Linked DNA regions of Canis lupus familiaris. The main gene of each other region encodes a partner of the protein of the gene in region 3 in a complex. Links are inferred from orthologs where the notes say so. Each region holds a gene or a part of one and is shown on either strand. Other genes may lie near its edges.

Region 1 (4,189 bases), on a different chromosome or scaffold from region 3:
AATGCACTTTCCTGTTCACAGGGCCCAGGGCTTACTGGAGAGTGCCAAAAATTTCAAGGAATTTCAACCCAGTGGCACTGACTATGAGAACAACATGGAGGTGACCGGAGTCTTGACACTCAGGCTCACTTGACTCAACGGTGACTTCAGAGCGTCTCTCTGTTTCTGTGCATCTCGGCCTCACTCTCTCTTAAGCTCTTCTCCTGTAGACCTTCTCTGCACAGGCTCCCTTTCCTTCTCCCGTCTATTTCTGGCCACCAAGCTGTTTCTTTAACGGTCATAAAATCTTCTGCAGAACGTTCTTGTTATCTTCCAATCCCAACACAATGCTCAGGGTTCAGTGTACAGTGGATCCCTTCACACCCATCAATAGGATACAGCTAGAGAAGTGCTTGATTTCTAGGATTGCCAAATTTTCGCTAAGTAAGGTAAGTAGAAGAGCCAAAGAAAGTTAAGTACCCCCACATTTGTGATGGAATTGTCTTGAGGAAGATGTTCTCCTCAGTCTGAGAGACAGGGGACAGATACTAGTTGTAGAAGCTGAAAGAGGAAGAGCAGATTCTCACTCAAAGTTGGGGCAATTCTGCAGCAGAATGTTTGCCCATTTGGATGATTGTTTGATATCTGGCTCCACGCTCTGCAACTTCCACATAAGAATAAACCAGGGATTCCTGGGTGGCGCAGCGGTTTGGCGCCTGCCTTTGGCCCAGGGCGCGATCCTGGAGACCCAGGATCGAATCCCACGTCCGGCTCCCGGTGCATGGAGCCTGCTTCTCCCTCTGCCTATGTCTCTGCCTCTCTCTCTCTCTCTCTCTCTCTCTCTCTCTCTATCATAAATTAAAAAAAATAAAAAAAGATTAAAAAAAAATAAGAATAAACCAAACGATTGAAAAATGAAGATTCAGGAGCAGTGAAGTTTTCAATAGCCTTATCTGTCTCGGGTGCCTAGAATGTTCTATCCCAGTAGCAGAGGTGACAGGTTAGGCAGAGAAGCTATTCGCCACGTCTATAGTTTCCTTTCTATTCACACACCCAAACAACAGGCTTCTAGACTGGAGTCGAGACCCTGGAGTTAAGGACCGTGTGGCAGAACAATAGGAATAACTTAGATCTAGTTCAGAAGCTGTCCATAAATTAAATTAGTCCAAAAGCCACTCTGGAACCTTCCCTGTCTAGTTTACAATCCATGACTCATCCCTGAAACCATTCTCTTCCCAGCACCTTCAGCTCCCCAACGTGCTACCCTAAACCCACGTCAGTCACAGGCGCTGCCCCTTGCACATCATCACTCAGGCCTTCAGGCCTAAGTGAAGAAAAATTACAGGATCATAAAACCAAACTAGCTGGCAACATTATAAATGCCTGGTCTCGGGGCGCCTGGGGTGCTCAGCAGTTGAGCGTCTGCCTTTGACTCAGGGCATGATCCCGGGGTCCTGGGATCAAGTCCCACATCGGGCTCCCCTGCAGGGATCCTGCTTCTCCCTCTGCCTGTGTCTCTGCCTCTCTCTGCGTGTCTCATGAGTAAATAAATAAATAATCTTTAAGAAAATATATGCCTGGTTTCTAACTCTGACAGGGTACTCAATGCTACCAGGTAATGCTAAGTTTCCCAGTCAATGCTACCATTCTACAAAGCTACTATTTCAAAACCATCACCACTCTCCCCGCACCTGCCATTTTATCGCCTCATTCTTGGAAGATGATCATCATCCCTACTTCATAAAGAAGAAAGAGTCATGAAGAAACTGTTTTAAACTTCGTGCCATAAAACCTATACACCCACATGTACCTAGACCATCCTCTCCCTCTTAACATCAACCCCCTCCTGCCCCTCTGCTCTTAAAAAAACCCAACCTCCTTCTCTGAAAAATCCCCTTGAAAGCATCACCTAAACTCACCATCTTCCCTGTTACATCCCACCCCCCACACACCATGGTCTTGAATGAGCACTTTGCAGTCTTGCTCTCACTCAACCAACAGTAGGCATGGCTGACCCCTTGGGTCTCTCCCCTTGACCTTCATGAGAGCACACTCCCTGGGTTTTCCTCCCACTCCACTGCTGCTGCTTCTCCGGCAAAGAAGACACAGATACAGAAACACAGGAACACGAAGATAGAAGAGAGCCACTGCTAACTAATTAGAGATGGGGAGGTTTTCAGTATTTGGGTTGCACCACACTGAGGCTGACAAAGCTCACTCCAGTGTCCCCCAAACTCCCATGCATGTCTCACCTGCTGAAACAGGAGTTCTTCGGCTTTGAGCCTCTCCATCATCTCCTGCTCAATCTCAGCTAGTTCTCTTTCCCGCTCCAAGTTAGCCATTTCCTTCTGTCTCTAGCAGGGTTTTAAAAGCAATTACCACATGACTAATTTGAGGCAGAATAATTTGTAAAAACAATCTTGAAAGAGTGTTAATCACCAATGACAGGGAAAAGGGGAAGCAAATTTTATTCAACCATTTAGAAAAGGTGCAATAATTTGGGGAGATATGTGTTTTATTTGAACAAAGAGCATAAAATTACAATTATACATTGGGTATGATCATAATTATGTAAAAAACAAAATCTACAAGTGCATAGGAAATGTACAGAAAAAAGACTAGAAGAAAATACCTAAAAATCTAAAAAGAAATCTTCTCTGGGGTATTTTTTATTCTTTCTGTTTTTTTTTTCATATTGTCCAAGTTTCTTCTATAATAAACATACTTACTATTTTTATAACAGAAATAACATTGAACTTTTTATTAAAAAAGTAGACAAACTGGACCAGTTATCTTATTCTTCTAATTTTCTAAAAGAAGATCCCTACTTACCAGTTGCTCCATGGTCACATTTTCCTTATATTTATAAATCCACAATGCTAAATATTCTATTGGATCCACTGGGCGAATTCTTGCCACTTCTGCAAGACCTTGAGTTAGACATGTCCCAAGGTGCTTTTGCAGATATGTCGACTCCATTTCTCCCCCCTGATTTCAAAAAGGTAAATGTTTTTGCATTAATGCAGGAAATGTTCAGTAAGTCACACTAAAAGCAGAGTCCAGTGAGGCCAACGGAGCACTGCATCCTGTCATGGGCACCTCCCACCAAGGATGACACTAGCAAGCTGGCTTGGTGAAACACCTAACAATTTCCAAAAGGACTCCACCGATGTCACAACAATTACCACTACTAAGAAGCACTTTCAAAATCCTGTAGGATCTCAAGGTTGAGATTCAGAAATGAACAACAAACATAACCCCCAACCAGCAAAGGGAAGAAAGTAACAAAGGTTAGAGCAGAAATAAATGATAAAGGAACTAAACAAAAAAAGATGAAAAAAAAAGTCAGAAAAAAGGGTACCGTCATGACTGTGAGACGGCCATGTGCCAAGCAGGGCATGTCTCACTCAATCCTCACAACAGGGGCCAAAAATCAGTGTCATCAGCCCACTGTGCGGGTGAGGAAGCCCAGGCGTAAGGGGCGTAGGTCAACGTGGTGAACATGGGATTCGTACCCAACTCTTGATTCCAGAGTCATAATCTTTGTGACCCAGATGTTCCTCCCAAGCCACGAGGGTAGTTTTAGAAAATCATAATACCCATAATATCATAATACTCTACCTCAAAAATAAAAACAAACAAACAAAAAACCCCAAAAGTCCATGAATCTCCAAGGACAAAAAAGTAAACAAAAAAATTCAACCTTCGAGGAATAGCATATGAAGCTCCTCACACTTTGGCCCCAATTTCTTTTTTTTCTTTTAAGACTTTATTTATTTATTCATGATAGACACACAGAGAGAGAGAGGCAGAGACACAGGCAGAGGGAGAGGCAGGCTCATGCCAGGAGCCCGACGTGGGACTCGATCCCAGGACTCCAGGATCACACCCTAGGCCAAAGGCAGGTGCTAAACCGCTGAGCCACCCAGGGATCCCCTGGCCCCAATTTCTTCTCAGGCTCACCCCAGACCTCTCCCCTGCCGCCAGCATATCCTGGGCTCTGACAACCCTCAGCAGTCTGCCATCCTGACAGCCACGCCTTGCACACCGCCATCTCCAAGACTTCTGCCCATAACGCTTTCTCTCTATCTCCCAGCTGAGGAAACATCTCCTCGCCTGCAAGATGCTGGCCCTCTCTCATTCCCTGGACTTTCCCAAGCAACGCAAAGAAGCCCCACCTTCTCCAAGCGACTCACACAGCACTTGTCAT
Region 2 (4,768 bases), on a different chromosome or scaffold from region 3:
TCTCTCTCAAAAAAATAAATACAATCCTTTTTAAAAGATAAAAACAAAGCACTGACAAAATAGACAATATGACACTTTACAAATATAAGAGAATTAAAAACCTGGAATTTCAAATAGGAATAATACAAAAAAGGAATATTCAAAATATTCCATTCTATTTGATAATCTTCATTTTTAAAAAGATTTTATTTATTTATTTATTTATTTATTTATTTATTTATTTATTTATTTATTCAAAAGAGACACAGAAAGAGAGGCAGAGACACAGGTAGAGGGAGGAGAAGCAGGCTCCATGCAAGGAGCCCAATGCGGGACTCAATCCTGGAAATCCGGGATCATGCCCTGAGCCAAAGGTAGACGCTCAACCACTGAGCCACCCTGGCGCCCCAAGATTTTATTTTTTATGAGAGATACAGAGAGACAGAGACAGAGGCAGAGACGTAGGCAGAGGGAGAAGCAGGCTCCTGCGAGGACCTTGGGATCACAACCTGAGCCAACATTAGAGGCTCAACCACTGAACCACCCAGGCATCCCTGTTTGATCATCTTTAACACTCTTCTTACATACATTTTCAAACTTTTACCAATGCAGGATAAGGCTTAAAACATTAAATGGTTTTGTTTTTGTTTTTGTTTTTTTAAGATTTTATTTATTTGAGAGGGGGAGAAAGAGAGAGACAGGAGCAGGAGGAGGAGCAGAGGGAGAATCAGGCTCCTCGCTGAGCAGGGAGCAGGAAGCAGGATGAGGGACTTGGTCCCAAGACCTGGAGATCACAACCTAACCAAAAGGCAGATGTTTAACCGACTGAGCCACTCAGGTGTCCCGAAACATTAAATGTTTGTTGTTGTTTTTTTTAAGATTTTATTTATTTATTTATTATTTATTTATTTATTTATTTTTATTTATTTATGATAGTCACAGAGAGAGAGAGAGAGAGGCAGAGACACAGGCAGAGGGAGAAGCAGGCTCCATGCACCGGGAGCCCGATGTGGGATTCGATCCCGGGTCTCCAGGATCGTGCCCTGGGCCAAAGGCAGACGCTAAACCACTGCGCCACCCAGGGATCCCATTTTATTGATTTATTCATGAGAGACAGAGAGAGGCAGAGACACAAGCAGAGGGAGAAGCAGGCTCCCTGTAGGGTGCCCAATGCAGGACTCGATCCTGGGACCTTGTGATCACAACCTGAGTCAAAGGTAGATGCTCAACCACTAAGCCACCCAGTTGCCCCCATTTTGAAAAAAAATTCCGGGTGCCTGGATGGCTCAGGGATTGAGCGCACCTGCCTTTGGCTCAGGTTGTGATCCCGGGGTCCTGGGATCGAGTCCCACATCGGGCTTTACACAGGGAGCCTGCTTCTCTCTCTGTCTATGTCTCTGCCTCCCTGTCTGTGTCTCTCATGAATTAATAAATAAAATCTTTAAAAAAATAATTGAAAAAAATTCCAACAATCTAAAAGCCCATCAATTGAGGAACAAGTAAATAACTTGTGGTTCATTCACACAGGGGAATATTACACAGAAGTTAGGAAGAATGAGAGATTCAGATATAATAACTGAGCAACTTTGTAAAAGGGGTCAAGGGAAGAAGACTGTCCTATTTTATAGGGGGAAATGTTTGTAAATGCTTACAAAAATCCTGCAAAGAAAAAAAATATCCTGCAAAGACAGAAGGCACTAAGTAGTTGCCTTTTCTGGAGATTGAGACTTGGGTGAGAGAGGAGAGGAGGAAAAGGAATTTTAATTCTCATTTTAGGGATCCCTGGGTGGCGCAGCGGTTTAGCACCTGCCTTTGGCCCAGCGCGATCCTGGAGACCCGGGATCGAATCCCACGTCGGGCTCCCAGTGCATGGAGCCTGCTTCTCCCTCTGCCTATGTCTCTGCCTCTCTCTCTCTGTGTGTGTGACTATCATAAATAAATAAAAATTAAAAAAATTAATTCTCGCTTTATATCCTTTTGAAAAATGAAAGAATTTATTTAATTTTTTAAAGATTTTATTTATTTGATAGAGAGTACAAACAGGGGGAGTGGCAGAGGGAGAGGGAGAAACAGGCTCCCCACTGAAGTGGGGAGTCCTATGCAGATCCTGGGACCCTAGGATCAAGACCTGGGCAGAAGGTAGATGCTTAACCAACTGAGCCACCCAGGTACCCCCTGAAAAAAACTTTAAAACTAACACATATAACTTTTATACTGAAAAATTAAAATAAATCTAAGTTTAGTACTAAGCACTAAAGCACTGAATAGGTTAACATATTTAAACTTTTTCTTTTTTTTTTTTTTAAGGAGCAAAGAGAATAAAAACCATCATCATCATGCCCAGAAGTTACCTGAACAATGGTGAATCCAGATCTGAGAATAATATCCTGTATCTCCTCCTCTTTGTCAGCAATATCTGGTTTGATAATAGCCAAAGTTTTTTCTACATATATCTGAGGTGGGGGCATTGATAGCTCCATTCTGCCTTTCCAGGGTACAATTTAGGAGATTCTCCACAGGTATCAACTGCAATGACATGCATCACCCCCACCCCAAATTTAATGTAATTGTGATTATAAACAGCATTATTAGGCGCTTGATTTTATTAGCTTATAAAGTTAGAAACTGCCGAATCTTTTTCGATAAGCAGTCTCAATAATACAATGGGGGGGGGGGGTGCGCCTCGCCTCGATGGCCCAGTCCAGGGAGCAGGTGCCTCCATCTCTGGATTGGGGTTCGAGCCCCAGGATGGGTGTAGAGATTACATAAATAAATAAACAAAAAGTACAATTTCTACTCTATGTCTAATTCATGCCCTTGGTTTTCCTAAACACTTTCGTTGAGGTACAGAGGCCAGGGGCAACCCGAAGGCCTGCGTGCGGCGCAGACTCTCGCAACTGCTGGTGAACTGTCTACCCTGCCCCCGCCCCCCCCCCACCCCCGCCCTTCTCCCGCCCCTCCCAGAAGGTCTTGCACTGGATCTGGCCTGACTGGAAAGCAGCATTCCCAGGTCCTAGTGCCAATTTGAAGTGCACTCGCAGACCCCACGGGAGCAGCCCTTCCGTACGCACTCACCCTGCCGCCCACTCCTGCTGGGCCACCGCAGCCTGTTGCTAAGAGACCCAAAGCAAAGTTCAGGGACGGTGGCTCCAGAGGGCCAATCCCAGCACAGCGCGTCACAGACTTTGGGTTCCTTTATAATGAAGAGAAGGGGCCACTACAAGTCTCTTTATTCCCCCCTTGCCAATCTTAGAGTACTAGACGTTTTCCAACATTGTCCTCATCTTATTTATTTTTTATTTTTATTTTTATTTTTTATTTATGATAGTCACACACACACACACACACACACACACACACACACACACACACACACACAGAGAGAGGGAGAGAGAGAGAGAGGCAGAGACACAGGCAGAGGGAGAAGCAGGCTCCATGCACCGGGAGCCCGACGTGGGATTTGATCCCGGGTCTCCAGGATCGTGCCCTGGGCCAAAGGCAGGCGCTAAACCAATGCGCCACCCAGGGATCCCTGTCCTCATCTTATTTAACCCTCATAGCCATTTCAAGGACACTTTAATTACATCAACCTTATAAATAATGAGACAAATCATAAGCACTCTCCCCTCATCCCACACCATCCCGTTCCAGACATTTTATGTAAGAACCCATGTCAAATACCTTACAGTCATTCTACCAGATGCTGTCCCATTTATTCCCTGATTCTGTAATCATTAAAAAAAGCAATCTTCAACTTGTGAAATAACATTTATTTATAGAGCAGTTATAAGAGTTGTTTAATTACATCTAAATCAAGCCTATGAAACAGAAAAAGTGAGCAACATTTACTGCATCACCCCAAATCTCAGCTTTCCCCATTTTTTAAATTGTCTACAGGCACCTTTGACTCCTTGGTTGTGACTTTAATGCATTTTTCTTACTAGAAAAGACAACAAAAAACTGGTAAACAAGTATTGGGATCTTCTCTGAGTCTCATATAAGAGGTCTCAATTCCAGAAAAGGTCAGGATAGCAGCTCTTGGTTAAGAGGTTTTCCATCATCTACAGGGTTGGCTGGTTCTCATTCCAAGCTATTTAAGTCTCTTCTTTTGTCTAACCAAATACTCAGCACCTACAGAGTCAAGGCAGATAGCAAGCTATGAATCTATGGAAAACTATAGAGATTAGAATGCAGTTTTCTTTTTTCTGCAGCAAGGTTTGACTATGCTTTTTTTCTTTCAAAGTATGATCCTGCCCAGAAAAGAAACCCTGAAAGGTCATCTTCTGGCTACAATGTCTTATTATTGTAGACGGGACAGTATGAATCTATATCAACAGGTAGCAACCAAAAAATGGATAGTGATTCCAGCCTCTGGTTCGCATGTTTAGCTCTCTGACTTGAGGCTCCGGAAGCAGGAGCTCCTATTACTTAGCTATCCCCAGCTCCCTTGAGACTTCTTTACAGCTGCCTGTCTTCCTATACTACTTTACTTCATTATCTATGAAAGCTAGTCCTACAGAGGCTTAGGGTTTTCCAAAGCAATAGGTACAATGTCATTATCTATGGGCCCTTAACCATGTCTAAACATAAATTCTGAGAACATAAAGTCACTTTAACACTACTCTTATTCTCATAGACTTTCTAAAATCAGATTCCAGAGACTGTACTCCTTTTTCTTACAGCTCTCTACATACAGTACCTGAATCTGCTCCAAGACTTCTCGCTGCATCTCCACAGCCATATGGTACACATGGTGATCAGAGTCATTGTACATCACAGCATTTTGGAA
Region 3 (4,651 bases):
AACAAACTGATGGTCACCAGAGGGGAGGTGGGTGGGGGGATGGGTGAAACAGGCGATGGGGATTAAGAAGTGCTCGGTGCTGAGCCCTGGGTGATGCATGGAATTGTTGAATCACTGTATCGTACACTTGAAAGTAATTTAACACTGTATGTTAACATGTTAATATGTTAACTATACTGGAATTAAAATTAAAAATATGTCACTAAATTGAGCATTCAAAAAAACCCTGGTGTATCAATATTATTGTGACAAATATATCGTATTCATGTAAGCCATCATAATACAGGAAACTTAAAAAAATACAGAAAAAAATCATACAGGAAACTAGGTATGGGGTATATGGGAATTTTTTTTATATGGGAATTTTGAACTGTGTTCCTAACTTTTCTGAAAATCTAAAATTATTCTACAATGTAAAACCTATTTTTAAAAAATCAACTAAATACATTTGTTCTGAAACTTTTTTTTAAAAAAAAGATTTTACTTATTTATGAGAGAGAAAAAGTGTTGGAGGAGGTGGAGGGGCAGAGCGAGAAGGAGAAAGAGTCTCAAGCCCACTCTGACTTCGCACTGAACCTGGAGCTCCAGCAGGGTTCCCTGTCACAACCTTGAGATCATGACCTGAGCCAAAACCAGGAGTTGGACCTTCAACTGACTGCCCCACCCAGGCGCCCCTGTTCTGATAACTTTTCATTAAAACTAATTGCTGGGCAGCCCTGGTGGTGCAGCGGTTTAGCGCCGCCTGCAGCCCAGGGTGTGATTCTGGAGACCCGGGATCGAGGCCCACATTGGGCTCCTTGCATGGAGCCTGCTTCTCCCTCTGCCTGTGTCTCTGCCTCTCTCTCTCTCTCTGTATCTCTCATGAATAAATAAATAAAATATTTAAAAAAATAAAAAAAATAAAACTAATTGCTACTTTCCTGGGGTACCTGGGTGGCTCAGTGGTTGAGCATCTGCCTTTGGCTCAGGTCATGATCCCAGGGTCTTGGGATCGAGTCTCACATCAGGAGCCTGCTTCTGTGTCTGCTTATGTCTCTGCCTCTCTCTGTGTGTCTCTCATGAATAAATAAATAAAATCTAAAAAAAAAAGAAAAAAGCTACTTTCCTTTAAAATTCTGAGTTGAGGAACACCTGGGTGGCTGAGTGATTAAGCATCTGCTTTTGGCTCAGATCGTGATCCTGGAGTCTTGGGATTGAGTCTCACATCAGGCTCCCTGCATGGAGCCTGCTTCTCCCTCTGCCTATGTCTTTGCCTCTCTCTCTCTCTCTCTCTGTCTCTCATGAATAAATAAAATCTAAAAAAAAAAAAAAAAAAAAAATTCTGAGTTGAGTGACCTTTATCAGGTTCACAGAATCAGCCCCTGTTCTTCCAATTCTTCTATTGGCTTTTCTGTGAAGCAAAACTGAGCAGGAGGTTTGCTTAGGCAGGAAGGACTACCACTCCCAGAGGGCCCCTGTGCGGTTGTCAGAGCAACCAAAGAATGCAGACTAACAGCCCTGCTGGTGTCAGGATTACCCAAGGACTGAGTGCCAACCAGCCATGGGCCAGGATTATTACTCCGTGCTCCAGATCACTCGAAATTCAGAGGATGCCGAGATCAAGAAGGCGTAAGTTGGGGTTGGAGTGAGGCTTTCGGGGTGTGTGGAGAAAGCCCCACCTTTATCTCTTCCAAACTGAGCTTTCTTGCACAGCTTAAGGCAGGCAAGGTAAACCTTGTTTTTTCTTGCATATTTATAGCCTGGGTTTGGACTAGGTCAGAGTTCTCAATCCATCATCCTTTATCCCCTCTACTCTGTCTCCCCTCCTGGATATGCTGGTTTTCCTAGGAATAAAAATCGAACAAAGGAGACATTTGAACTTTATCCTGATTATGGAGAACCAAAGGAACAGGAAAGTGACCTGGCCAGATGGATGTGTTTCAGATTTTATTCTGGCAATTATAATGAGTTTTTGATGTTGAACTGCATTTCTCAATACTTTCATCAGGTCATGGGGACTTTGTGGTCCATTTCCAAGAAAGTCAAGGACAGGAGTCAGCACATTTTTATGAAAAAAATGTGGTTTGGGGGGGCACCTGGATGGCTCAGTTGGTTAAGCATCTGACTTGATTTCGACTTGGGTCATGATCTCGGGGTTGTGAGATTGATCCCTGCTTTGGGCTCCACATTGAGACTGCTTGGGATTCTCACTTTCCCTCGGTTCCTTCCCACTACCTCTGCACCATCCCCCCACCCTCCCACCCCCACTCCCTGTGCTTGCTCTCACGTGTGCTCTCTCTCTCTCTCTCAAAAAAAAAAAAAAGTTTTTTGATGAATATTTATTGAGTGCCTACCCTATGGTTAGGTGCAGTGGTAGCAGCTGGAGATATAATCATGAATCAGATACGCAGCTTAATTTTGGTGGTGAATACAGATGTTGAATAAGTCATAAGTGTGATGAGTGTTACAGAAAGGGAAGAACAGAATGCTATGGAAACTTATTTTAGGAGACAGACTCTTTCAGAGTCTGTCATGATAACCAAGGCAGAAGATGAAGCTTGAAAAAGGATACTGGGCTGGAGAGAGGAGAGAGAATGGATTTAGCTATTAATTGGGTCATTGAAGGGTAAAGAAAAAGGGAGGAATCTGGGATAATATAGTTAATTAAGTTGGGTAGTGATACAGTTTTTGAATGTGCAGATACTGTTCTGAGAACCTTCCATCATTATTTCATTTAATCCTCACAACTCTGAGAAGTAGGTACTGTTATCCCAAGGCCATGTGCCTAGTAAATGGCAGAACCAGTATCCAGACACCATGCCTACTGTGAGTCAGGTCCTGTAGGGCATTTATGTGGGGTAAGGGGAGAGAATCTACAGTGTAGCTGGAGAAAAAAGACACAAACTCATGAGACAATTACAGAACAATTCAGGATATTGTGTGATGTCACCCACTGCTCAGAGCATCTCCTTGGCCAGTGGAAGCCATTTAGGGAGAGGTCACAGGAGTTGGAATGCAGAAATACATGCCCAGCTTAAACGCTGGAAACACCCAGGCCTGAATCTAGTTTCTCCTACCTGCTAGCTGTGTGACATGGACAAATTAACCACTCTGAGCCTCTGCTTTCCCATCTCTAAAATAATAATTATAAGGTTTGGGGCACCTGGTTGGTTCAGTGGGTTGGCTCAGGTCATGATCCCAGGGTCCTGGGATTGCTCCCTGTTTCCCCCTCTCCTGCCATCCCTTCTGCTTGTGCTGTCTTGCGCAATCTCTCTCTCTCCCTCAAATAAATAAATTCTTTAAGAAAAATAATAATTAATTATAAGGGTTGTTGTGGTATTGACATGGAATTTTAAAAAAATATTTTATTCATTTATTCATAGAGACACAGAGAGAGAGAGAGAGAGAGAGGCAGAGACACAGGCAGAGGGAGAAGCAGGCTCCATGCAGGGAGCCTGACGTGGGACTCGATCCCTGATCTCCAGGATCACGCCCTGGGCTGCAGGTGGCGCTAAACCGCTGCCCTTGACATGGAATTATATGAGATAAAGAACATGAAATGCCCAGCAATCATTTGTAGCAAAAAATCATGTCATATAAAGAGTGATTAAAAGAACCACATGTATTTCATACAATAGTTCTTAACCCTTCTCTCTCTCTCTTTTTTTTAAAGATTTTATTTATTTATTCATAAGAGACACAGGGAGAGAGAGAGGCAGAGACACAGGCAGAGGGAGAAGCAGGCCATGGGACTCGATCCCAGGTCTCCAGGATCACACCTGGGGCGAAGCGGCGCTAAACGGCTGAGCCACCCAGACTGCCCCATTTTCCCCCTTCTCTCTTATAACAACTTTAAGAGATGAGTCCCATACGAGAGCACCTAGATTTTGATGCCCCACCTCAAATGCTGAATGTATAAAATAAAGAAAAGCACTGTGATGATTCCTAATTGCCCAGCTATTTACCTTCTCAGTATCTCTCATTCGGTCTAGGCTGCTGCATCCAAGCTGTGACTCCACTCCATCTTGCCCACTCAGGGAAACAGAGTGGTGGCACTGCAGGGCAAATATTACAACCACTCAAATTTATATGAAAATGGAACTCTTCTCAAACCTACTTACTTTTACTTGTTCTCTCCATAACTGATTTTGACCTTTGTAACTGAGAAGGGCTGGTTTCAAAGCCTCAAGGAGGTCATGACAATTGTCTTGAAGTCAATGAAGGTATACAAAGTATATTAGAGAATGAAAATGTGTTTGGTTTTGGGCTCGTTGAGTTTGTGGGGCCTGTGGGATATTGGAGAGGAGATACCAAGATGGCAGCTGGATACAGAAGTCTGGAGCTCAGTGTCCTAGTTTCAGAGATTTGGGAGTGGTCAGCGAGTGAGTGGTACTCAAAGCCTTGGGATAGATGAGCCTGTGCACAGACGGTATGTGGAGTGAGAAGAAAAGGAGCAGAAGGGGTCACTAGCATAGAAGGCGTGAGCAGGGCAGAGGAGCTGCACTCTGACCCAGCAGAGGGTACACAGGGTCAGATTTGTACTAAGCTGTTCAGGGGCCTGCACTGATGCCCTCCTTTGGCTCCTCCAGACCCATTCCCTACCTTTCTGTAACCCTGCTTTCTGCACTGGAAGCTGGGCCATCTGAACTGCATTGATAGATGCCCTGGCCTT
Region 4 (4,736 bases), on a different chromosome or scaffold from region 3:
ATTAAATGGTAGAGTGGGTTTTGAACCTGGTGTGTCTGACTTTACAGCCCCTACTAGTTCCATGATATCAAGTGAATAGATTTTTTTAAAAAACATTTTATTTATTTATTTGACACACAGAGAGAGAGCACAGCATGGGGAGCAGGCAGGCAGGGGAGATGGAGAGGCAGGGTCCCTGCTGTGGGCTCCATCCCAAGACCCCAAGATCACGACCTGAGCAGAAGACAGACGCTTAACCAACTGGGCCACCCAGGCGTCCCTCAAACAGATTTGTCTGTATTATCCAAGCTGGACAGGGCAGGAGATAACATGTCCTGATTTCCAGCCCACCACATCTTCCATTAGATCACTTTGCGTGTTTTATAATATCTGTAACACACAATTTAACAATCATATGATTTCTTACCTTGTTGCCTAATTGTTTTATTTATATTAGATTCCATAAGATTGGTACTGTCTTGGGGCAGCCCTGGTGGCTCAGCAGTTTAGCGCCGCCTTCAGCCCAGGGTGTGATCCTGGAGACCCCAGATCAAGTCCCACATCAGGCTCCCTGCGTGGAGCCTGCTTCTCCCTCTGCCTGTGTCTCTGCCTCTCTCTCTCTCTCTCTCTCTCTCTCTCTCTGTGTCTCTCATGAATAAATAAATAAAATATTTTTTAAAAAAGATTGGTACTGTCTTCCTTTCTCCCGGCAGGAATTGTGTCATAAATATTAACTGCCCTGAGCTTTAGTTTCCTCTTCTTTCAAGTATTTATCTCACAGGATTGATGTAAAAATTAAATCACTTGTGAAAGCATCTCATACAGTATCTGACACAAATGCTCTGGAAATATTTGTTGAATCTTAACTTTTTTCTCATCTCTTTCAACAAGTCACACAGACCTGAGTGCCTGGGCATGGCTCTATCAGGTCTTGTTGTCTATATAACAACGTTGGATGAAGAGTTTTTCATTGGGCACTTGTTGGATTTTCTCTCTTATTAGCACCCCCAAGAAGTTTGTATCAAACTAGTCCAAGTTATGAGGAAAAGTGAGAAGCAATCTACAACCCAACCCATTGTAGATTGGGTTTAGCAATCTACAATGTACTAGCATAGATTACGCTCGCACTCATACCCCTCAGTTGGTGTAGCTAAGCCTATTTTACAGATGAGAAAGTAGTCTTAGGTAAGCTGCTAGTGAACTGCAGATCTGCCAAGACTTCAACCCAGGTCTTAAGGTACATTGGCCTGGGCTCCTTCCACTCCACCAAGCCACCTTCCAAAGATCAACTGAGTGCAAGGCTGGGGTGGGAGTAGAAACCAGACCACGTACCTTGGGATTTCTTGCTCCTCTTCCCCCTTTAGCTTCAGAGCATATTTCTTTGGAATTCACAATACTTTTGTTTTGAGGATGTGCGGTCCCTTTAACGTCTGGAGTGACTTCGCATAGCCCCACCCATCTCCCCTCCCACTTCTCAGTTCCAAGCCCCACCCACTGCTTCCTGCTACCTGCCAATTAACGCTTGTAATCGGATTGGGAATTTGGCCTCTTTACCCGGCGACTAAAGGTCCGCTTGCTCTGGGGCGGATTTTCCGTTCAGTTTGTCGCGGGCCCCTCGAGGCCCTCCTCTCAGCGGTTGCCCCAAAGAAGTAGCCAAGTGTCCCGCCCCCTCGTTGCCATAACAGCAGTACACAACGCCTCCTTGAGCGTTTCCCCTCTTCCAAAACAACCTTTCCCAGTCAGAGCCAAGACCCTCTCCGGAACCTCACCTTTAGCGGAGCAGAGCCAGGGTCTGCGCCCCTCTGCGAAGGATTGGGTGGGAGGGTTGGAGACTGCGTCAGTCTGGTGCCCCAGAGGGGACAGGGAAATGGGGCTAGTTAGGGTGGGAAAGTAAAAAAGAAATGAATGGAGCATGAGTTAGGAATAGAAAGGAGGAGAGGGTTGTAGGAGGTTGGTAGGGGAACGTGGCTTAAGGAGGAGGTGGGAAGAACTGGGGAGGAGAAGGCCAAGAAGCAGGGAGGCGGAGCTACAATGAGACAGTTGGAGCCCCGCTGGAGGGCTGGAAAGGCCTGGAAAGGCGTACTGAAGGGACAGAAGTCCTTGGTGGGACATCAGAAGTGGAGGCTGGGAGTCAAAATGAGGTGTTCGCAGGGATAAGGAGAGAAACGCAGTTGGGAGGAGGTCAGGGATGATGGATGGGAAGGGTATCCCGTCAATGGAGGCAAGGGATCAGAGAGCCGAGGAGACAGACATTCTTTCTTGGGAGGGGCACTGAGCTTGATCTGTTACTCCAGAGTCGTCAGCAGAGAAGAAAGATGTCAGATGAAGACCTGGAAGATTTCGAGCCAGATCAGGATGATCTGGAAAAGGAAGATGATGAGAAGGAAACAGAGGAGTGGGAGGACTACAAGAAGGAGGGAGAGGAGTACTCAGAGGAAGTGAGAGCATGAAATCCTGGAATTGGTGGGGTCCTAAGGCTAAGGGATGGGGTTGGGCTGGAAGGGGATGCCTGATTCCACTTCCTCTTGCAGTGGATGCCCACGCCACTCACAGAGGACATGTTGAAGGAAGGGCTTTCTTTGCTCTGTAAGACAGGCAATGGACTGGCTCATGCTTATGTCAAGCTGGAGGTTAAAGAGAGGTGCGCTTATGGAGGACCAGGCTGCCGTCGTAGGGCCCAATCTCCTTTCTCACCCTCATTCCTGGGTGTTGCTGCTGGGAGTTTGGATCTCTCTTACTCTGGCCAGTGGAAGGGAAGGATAGAATTTGCTTTTCCAGAGCCCTGTGACTCCCCACATTAGAGCTAGCCTGGGGAATTCCTACTGGACTCCTTCAATTGTCCATCAGAATGTCAGTTCTCGGCTCTTTGCAGACATATGCCCCTGATCACTGTTAAGAACCCACCTATCTTCTCTCCTCCTCCCTCACCACTCCCATCAGTCACCCATTCTTCTCCATCTCCACATTGTCCTCTGCTTTAGCACCTCTGCTCCTTACTGGGTACTTAACCCTAACTCTGGCCTCCTTCATCTCTTAGGGACCTGACAGACATCTACTTGTTGCGTTCCTACATCCATCTGCGCTATGTGGATGTTTCTGAGAACCACCTGACAGACTTGTCGCCACTCAATTACCTTACCCACCTGCTCTGGCTCAAGGCTGATGGCAACAATCTGCGGAGTGCCCAGCTGAATGAACTGCCCTACCTGCAGGTTGCCAGTTTTGCCCATAACCAGATCACTGACACTGAGGGCATCTCTCACCCTCGTCTGGGCAGCCTGGATCTCAAAGGTAGGTCCTTAAGTTGGGCTACACAAGGTTCTCTCCTTCCTAGCTTGGGGCCAACAGAAGTGGGCAGTGTGGTCTTTGGCTGTGCCACACAGCAATTTCCATCCATCCATCCATTCATTCAGACAGTCCTTATGCTCCATTATGACATTTCTATGTGCTGGAGATGTAGCAGTGAACAAACAAAATCCCTAGTCTCATACAGCTTCCATTCTAGTCAGGGGGAGACAGACAACTATCAGTAAACGTAATAACTAAGTAAATCTATAGAGTATGTTAAGAGGAGATATGTGTGGTGGAAAATAGATTAGGATAAAGGGACTAGAGATAGGCACAGGTAGCAACTGCAAACAGGTTGGTTAGGACAAGGGTCATTGAAAAGCTGACATCTGAGCCAAGATTTGAGGGAGGAGGAGTGCCCCAGGGCCCCAGAGGTGTTAAGTCTGGAGCTGTCCCTCCTCATAGCCACCTCATATGGGAGGGAGAGGATGATGCAGAGGCTCCCAACATTCAGGCTCTGCTGCTGAACATTTGAAGCGGTCCTCTGAGTTCTTAACACTCTCCTGCTCCTTAGGGAACCGCATCCGCAGGGTGACAGGTCTGGACCCCCAGAAGCTGCTCAGCCTGCACACACTGGAGCTTCGGGGGAACCAGCTGGAGAGCACTCTGGGAATCAATCTTCCTAAGCTGAAGAACCTCTACCTGGTAGCTCGCTGGGTTAGAGGGTGGTTGGTGTAGGGAAAAGGGTGGTGTTCTGGGGGCCAGGATGCCTGGCTTCTAGTAGGCTCTACTAACACCATCATCATCACGATCATTTGGTTCATTTATCATTATCATTTATTGAGCACTCACTTGGTGCCAGATGCTGTGGGGATGCAAAATTAAAACAGACAAGATCCTTACTACCTAGCAGGGCTGCTAATGCATAATACATGAGAATAGAGACAATTTGTTTTGACACAGGTTGTAGCATAATTTGCCATAACCCAGGTACAGATATCAAGCCAAGGGAGCCACTGAAATGTTAAGTCTTTTTGACTTGTGAGCTTCTTCATTCTAGGATGGTGCTGAAGGCATTCCTCCTCAGTGGAGCAGTGAGGGTTCTTGGGCATCCGGGTGGTTTGAAGCATCTCCTCCTGAATCAGAGGTGGCTTTGATGGGATGAGCAGCAGGGGGTTACTGCTGCCTTTCTCTGGACCAGCAGCTTCTCCTAGGCTTCTTTACTGTTTACACCCATCTCTACCCATCTTCACTCCCCTCCTTCACCCTTCCATCTCCACTCTTAAGTTTCCTGCATCTTTGACTTCTCTTCCCTGTCCCTACCACCTTTTCCCAATCCATGGACTGTATCCTGGGGGCTAGGCCCAGAACATGCTGAAGAAGGTGGAGGGTTTGGAGAACCTAAGCAATCTCACTACCTTGCATCTTCGAGACAACCAGATTGAAACTCTGAGTGGCTTCTCCAAGGA
Region 5 (4,681 bases), on a different chromosome or scaffold from region 3:
GACACAGGCAGAGGGAGAAGCAGGCTCCATGCACCGGGAGCCTGATGTGGGATTCGATCCGGGGTCTCCAGGATCGTGCCCTGGGCCAAAGGCAGGCGCCAAACCGCTGCGCCACCCAGGGATCCCTTCAAGAGATTTTTTTAAAACTATGTTGGGATTATTACTATATTTCAGAACAGTTCTTAGGACATACTTAACATTCAGTAAATACACTTGAGTAAATGAATGGATGGATCAGAATCAAAATAATGTGTATGTGGTAAAAACAAAACCATGTGCCATTCTCCAGAGGTAACCACAGTCAGTAGTTTAGTGTTTGCTCCCAGAATGTGCAACAGGTAAATGTATATTCACAGACTCTGCTCTGTTAGGTGCTTTTTTTCACTTCATATTTCGTGAACATCTTTTTATGTCAATACCTAAGTAGCTATCTTATTTTAAAATTCTGGCTGAATTATTTTCTGTTGTGTGGCTAAGATTATGATTTAAAATGTTCTGAAAGAATTAGTTTACCAATTTTATTATGTGCTTTACTAAACATTTTGGTCCATATTACTTTATATACTCAGGCTAGTATTTCTATAGGATAAATCTATAGATTGCTAAGTCATCAAAATACAGTGCCAAATGGCCCCCAGAATGTACTAATTAACACCTCTGTCATCATTGTAGGAGATTCCTTGTTTTTCCATTTTGCATCAACACTAAATAGTGACTTTTCAGTTTTTGCTAGTGTGCCGTTAATTTGGAAATGTGTCCCCTGGTGGGGGAGTAATGGATGGGGGTGATACCTCTAGGGCAGGAGGAAGGGTTTGTCATTGACGACTCCTGGAAATAGCCGGGTCTAGGTCTCCATCTTTCTGGCTAGAAGTGAGCAGGGGAAGGCAGGTGGGTAGCCACAGCTCTGATTCACACCTTGTATGCTGCCCTGGTCAGGATTCACCAGAACCGAGTAGCTCTCCTATCCTTTGACCCAAAGTTCATGTATCCGAAGACAGTTTATGTCCTTCTAGACCCAATCAGCCTCAATCATTGTCTTGAGCTGAAAATCGCCCCGTCTAAACTCTTGAAGTGGCTCTTAAATCGGAAGGCCTGGGCAGTGAGAACAGCGCGAGTGAAGGTCTGAAGGCCTGGACGGCTTGGACAGGGTGTTAGACGGTGGCTTGGCGCGGACCGGATGGCAGACGGGGGCTCGGTTTGCACGCGGTGCAGATGGTTTGGACGTGGGGCAGGCGGGCATCGTGCAGCCTGAGCGAGACCCGGGAGGACGGCGAGGGGCAGGTTCCTTCGCGCGGGGGCGCTCGTGCTCCCTGCGCCGACCGGCCCCGCGGCCGTGACGCCTTCCTTCCGAGGACGACCGAGCCCCCTAGTCCTTAAGCCTCACGTAGCCAGAGCAAGGGAAAGGGTGTGTGTGTGGGGGGGGGGGGGGGGGCTTGTGAATTCTCCCTTCACATCGCAATGGGAAATCGATCAAATGATCTAAGTGAAACGTTCAGCGAAAGGCAAAAAAAGGCCAGAGCCAGACTGCGCAAGCGCAGTGCCTGCCCCGAGCCGAGCCGAGCCGAGCCGAGCCGAGCCGAGCCGAGCCGAGCCGAGCCGAGCCGAGCCGAGCCGAGCCGAGCCGAGGGGCGGGGCCCGCGGGCGTCCCGGTTGCCTGGATACTCCGCGAAACAATCGCTGCCGCGGGCGCTTTCGGGCGGTCGCGGGGAGGGGCAGTTGGTCCTCACTTTCCGCGGAGCCCCAGGAGCCCGAGGAGGAGCGGGTGAGGCCCCCGGCCGGCCGCCCGGACCTCGCGAAGCCGGCCTCCTGGCCGCCCCCGGTCCCCCCGCCGGGCTCCAAATCCGGGGGAGGCAGGGCAGCCCGAGGCCCACGGGTTCGCCCTCCTCCACGCAGCCCATCTTGATTCTTCCCAGCCTGGTCCGGTCCGCGGAGAGCGATGCCGCTGCCCGACACCATGTTCTGCGCGCAGCAGATCCAGATTCCGCCGGAGCTGCCGGACATCCTGAAGCAGTTCACCAAGGCTGCGATCCGCACCCAGCCCGCCGATGTGCTGCAGTGGTCCGCGGGGTAAGCGCCTCGGTGGCCGCCGGCCGGTCTGCGAGCCGGGTCGTGCCCCTGGCCCTCCCGCCTGCAGCCCCGGTGCGACGCGCGGGTGGTGTCTGCACCTGAGGACCTGTCTAGGAACCATCCCGGTTGATTGAGTTTCCCAGCAGTCGCTGCCAAATGCTCCCTTTCCTGCAAAGGCATGACAGCTCCACTGTTGGAGACTGGTACTTGCTCAGACCGAAACTTAAAAAGCGATTGCATTCGGTAAAAAGTTTCTGCATTGTGTGATAAAATCAAACTACTCCACTCCCTTTATTTTATTTGTGAAATGGTTTTTTACAAGGTTTCTTGTAAGGCTAAGCTGCTCATTCTGGAGAATCCTCCCACCCTGTTGAGTTTTTTTTTTTTTTTTTTTAAGATTTTTCAAAAATTCATTTATTCGGGGGCGGTGGGGAGGCGCGGAGACACAGGCAGAGGGAGAAGCAAGCTCATGCAGGGAGCCCGACGTGGGACTCCAGGATCATGCCCTGGGCTGCAGGCGGCGCTAAGTTTCTTAGATCAAAGCCCCCGAGGTCATGTTGGGGTAATTATCCCAATGCTGCAATAAGGTTAAACTTTGCTCAACTTAGTTCCCAGAAGGCAAATAAGCCTTCACCCTTTCTTGCAGCATTGTAGCTATTTTCAGGAATGGTCATAGTTTCAAAGTTACAAAGTTAACAGGCCTTAGAACCTTTAAAGTAAACCCATTAGGTTTCGAAAGGAAAGCTCTTTGCCTCTCTTCAGTAGACAGACTTAGAAACTCAATTTTATGATTACAAGAACCAGTATAAAATTAAATGTTTTGGGGCACCTGAGTAGTTCGGTAATTAAGCGTGTTCTTTTGGCAGGTCATGATCTCAGGGGCCTGGGATCCAGCCCCAGGTGGTGCTGCTTGTTCAGCAGAATCTGCTTCTCCCTTTGTCTCTGCTCCTCCCCCTGTTCATGCGCGCTCTCTCTCTCTCTCTCTCTCTCAAATAAGTAAAATCTTTTTTAAAAATTAAATGTTTTAGTAACTAGCATGTCAGATTTCACTGACCTCTAAATGGTATAAATAACCAAGGTGAGTTAGTTTCCTTTGGCCACTATAACAAATAACCACAGATTTTGATGGATTAAACAACAGGCATGTATTGTCTTATTGTTCTGGAGGCTGAAAGTCCAAAATCCGTTTCACCTAGCTAAAGTCAAATTGTCAGAGGCCCTACGGAGAATCGAATCGCTTGCTTGCTTGCCTTTTCCCGCTTTTGGAGCTGCATTCTTTGTGTTCTTTGGCTCATGGCCCCTTCCTCCATCTTTAAAGCTGATGCATTTAGGACCCATCAAGATAATTCAGGATAATTTTTCTACCTCAGAATCCTCTCTCACATCTATACAGTTCCTGTCACCATGCAAAATAAGATACACAGCTTCCAGGATTAGGGGCCCTTAGTGAACCCACCACAAGGCTACTTATTAATCCAGTGCTTCACCTTGTGACAGGCACTTCTGTCAGTTGCTTCTGCAAGATTCTCTCAAGGGTCTTGCCCAAAAAAATCATGGCCTCTGGTTTTAACCGTCATTCAAGCATCAATGAAAGGACGCACAAGCGTCCTTTGTACTTGTACTTAACAGAACATTTGTTCTGTACAATAACATTTATTATTTGTACTTAACAGAACATTCCGAGATTAAATCATTTTCTTTCTTGGGACTTTAAATTATTTTAATTTAAGCTTCACTTTAATTTAAAAGGCATAATTGAGAACTTTCTGGATGTTCCATGCAACTAATTTTCTCTCAACAATTTTGGAGCTTAGGAGGAAAAGCAGGCGTCATTCACTAAGTGGTGCGTGTGAAATGGGCTTGTATGAATCCCAGCTGTCGCAGCATCTGTTGGGGTGAGAGGTTGCTCAGAAGAGGGCGAATTGCTCTTTGAGGTTAAGACAAGGCTAGGGCATTCCGGGGAGAGGAACAGCATACGAACAAAGGAGAGGTGACAAGAAGAAAAACAAAAAAGCTAAAAACAAAGCAGAGAACCAGGAATCACAGGTGGGTACCTGCTGGGGAAGATGCACAAGCAAGGCTTTCAGGTGCACAGGTCCATCAGCCTGGCCCCCAGCTTGATGCGGCCACTAGGGGACCGTCTGTGTTCTGTCACCAGTGCCCCACGCAGGGTGCCCCTCTCAGGGTGCCCCGCGCAGGGTGCCCCGCACAGGGTGACGGGGGGGGGGGGGTGTGTGTGTGTGTGAGAATTGGTCCAGTGCTAGAGGCTGCTTTCTGCTCGCATGTGCCTCCAGGGACTAGCACCGGGAGGCTTGACCCTCTTGCAGACTCTCAGCCTTGGCCCTGTTGAGCCCATGACAGGATAATGGCTGGGGAGTGTGGGGGTATGCGGGTGTCTGGGCAGTAGGACCCTGAGCAGCATCCTGACCTATACCCGCTAGAGGCCAGTAGCACCACCCACCCCCTCTTGTGACAACCACAGAGGTCTCCAGATTTTGCCCCCGGGGCAGTGGGTGGGAGGACTGTTGGGAACCACTGCTCTAGAGGGTGTGGAGCTGGGTGATGGGTTCGGTCGGTGAGGAGGAGGAGGAATAAAGTCCCGGAGTAGGTGAAA

What was found.
Region 1: DNAJB13 (region 3) and DYDC1 share a complex: the UniProt entries of both Homo sapiens proteins name them as parts of the axonemal radial spoke complex. The link is inferred for Canis lupus familiaris from reciprocal best matches to the Homo sapiens genes DNAJB13 and DYDC1.
Region 2: the proteins of DNAJB13 (region 3) and NME5 are in contact, whole or in part, in a cryo-EM structure (PDB 8WZB), measured with the Mus musculus proteins. The link is inferred for Canis lupus familiaris from reciprocal best matches to the Homo sapiens genes DNAJB13 and NME5. Residues at the interface, in NP_705755.2 of Mus musculus: Thr156, Lys157, Lys158, Thr181, Ile182, Asp183, Arg185, Trp188, Arg189, Gly191, Thr192, Arg193, Ile194, Thr195, Phe196, Glu197, Pro281; in NP_542368.2 of Mus musculus: Glu52, His53, Asn56, Met193, Lys199, Pro200, Lys201, Leu202, Cys203, His204, Phe205.
Region 4: DNAJB13 (region 3) and LRRC23 share a complex: the UniProt entries of both Homo sapiens proteins name them as parts of the axonemal radial spoke complex. The link is inferred for Canis lupus familiaris from reciprocal best matches to the Homo sapiens genes DNAJB13 and LRRC23.
Region 5: DNAJB13 (region 3) and ROPN1L share a complex: the UniProt entries of both Homo sapiens proteins name them as parts of the axonemal radial spoke complex. The link is inferred for Canis lupus familiaris from reciprocal best matches to the Homo sapiens genes DNAJB13 and ROPN1L.

Annotation. Positions count from the first base shown.
Region 1 is NC_049225.1:30,227,673-30,231,861, forward strand, and holds part of DYDC1 (DPY30 domain-containing protein 1), read right to left. Parts: exon of another isoform or gene 4,176-4,189; intron 2,968-4,175; 5' UTR 2,959-2,967; coding exon 2,812-2,958; intron 2,334-2,811; coding exon 2,232-2,333; intron 1-2,231. UniProt on the Homo sapiens protein: Functions as part of axonemal radial spoke complexes that play an important part in the motility of sperm and cilia. Plays a crucial role during acrosome biogenesis.
Region 2 is NC_049232.1:25,836,600-25,841,367, forward strand, and holds the start of NME5 (nucleoside diphosphate kinase homolog 5), read right to left. Parts: upstream 3,192-4,768; 5' UTR 3,055-3,191; intron 3,039-3,054; exon of another isoform or gene 2,971-3,038; intron 2,506-2,970; 5' UTR 2,460-2,505; coding exon 2,331-2,459; intron 1-2,330. Other genes in the region: BRD8 (bromodomain-containing protein 8), read right to left, coding at 4,060-4,110, 4,679-4,768. UniProt on the Homo sapiens protein: Functions as part of axonemal radial spoke complexes that play an important part in the motility of sperm and cilia. Does not seem to have nucleoside diphosphate kinase (NDPK) activity.
Region 3 is NC_049242.1:24,440,584-24,445,234, reverse strand, and holds the start of DNAJB13 (dnaJ homolog subfamily B member 13), read left to right. Parts: upstream 1-1,453; 5' UTR 1,454-1,540; coding exon 1,541-1,608; exon of another isoform or gene 1,609-1,707; intron 1,708-3,944; exon of another isoform or gene 3,945-4,651. UniProt on the Homo sapiens protein: Functions as part of axonemal radial spoke complexes that play an important part in the motility of sperm and cilia.
Region 4 is NC_049248.1:7,958,661-7,963,396, forward strand, and holds the start of LRRC23 (leucine-rich repeat-containing protein 23), read left to right. Parts: upstream 1-1,409; 5' UTR 1,410-1,546; intron 1,547-1,556; exon of another isoform or gene 1,557-1,769; intron 1,770-2,273; 5' UTR 2,274-2,294; coding exon 2,295-2,417; intron 2,418-2,510; coding exon 2,511-2,620; intron 2,621-3,016; coding exon 3,017-3,270; intron 3,271-3,841; coding exon 3,842-3,972; intron 3,973-4,629; coding exon 4,630-4,736. UniProt on the Homo sapiens protein: Essential for sperm motility and male fertility. Plays an important role in the proper assembly of the third radial spoke (RS3) head and the bridge structure between RS2 and RS3 in the sperm flagella.
Region 5 is NC_049255.1:4,035,755-4,040,435, reverse strand, and holds the start of ROPN1L (ropporin-1-like protein), read left to right. Parts: upstream 1-1,602; 5' UTR 1,603-1,762; intron 1,763-1,913; 5' UTR 1,914-1,936; coding exon 1,937-2,067; intron 2,068-4,681. UniProt on the Homo sapiens protein: Functions as part of axonemal radial spoke complexes that play an important part in the motility of sperm and cilia. Important for male fertility.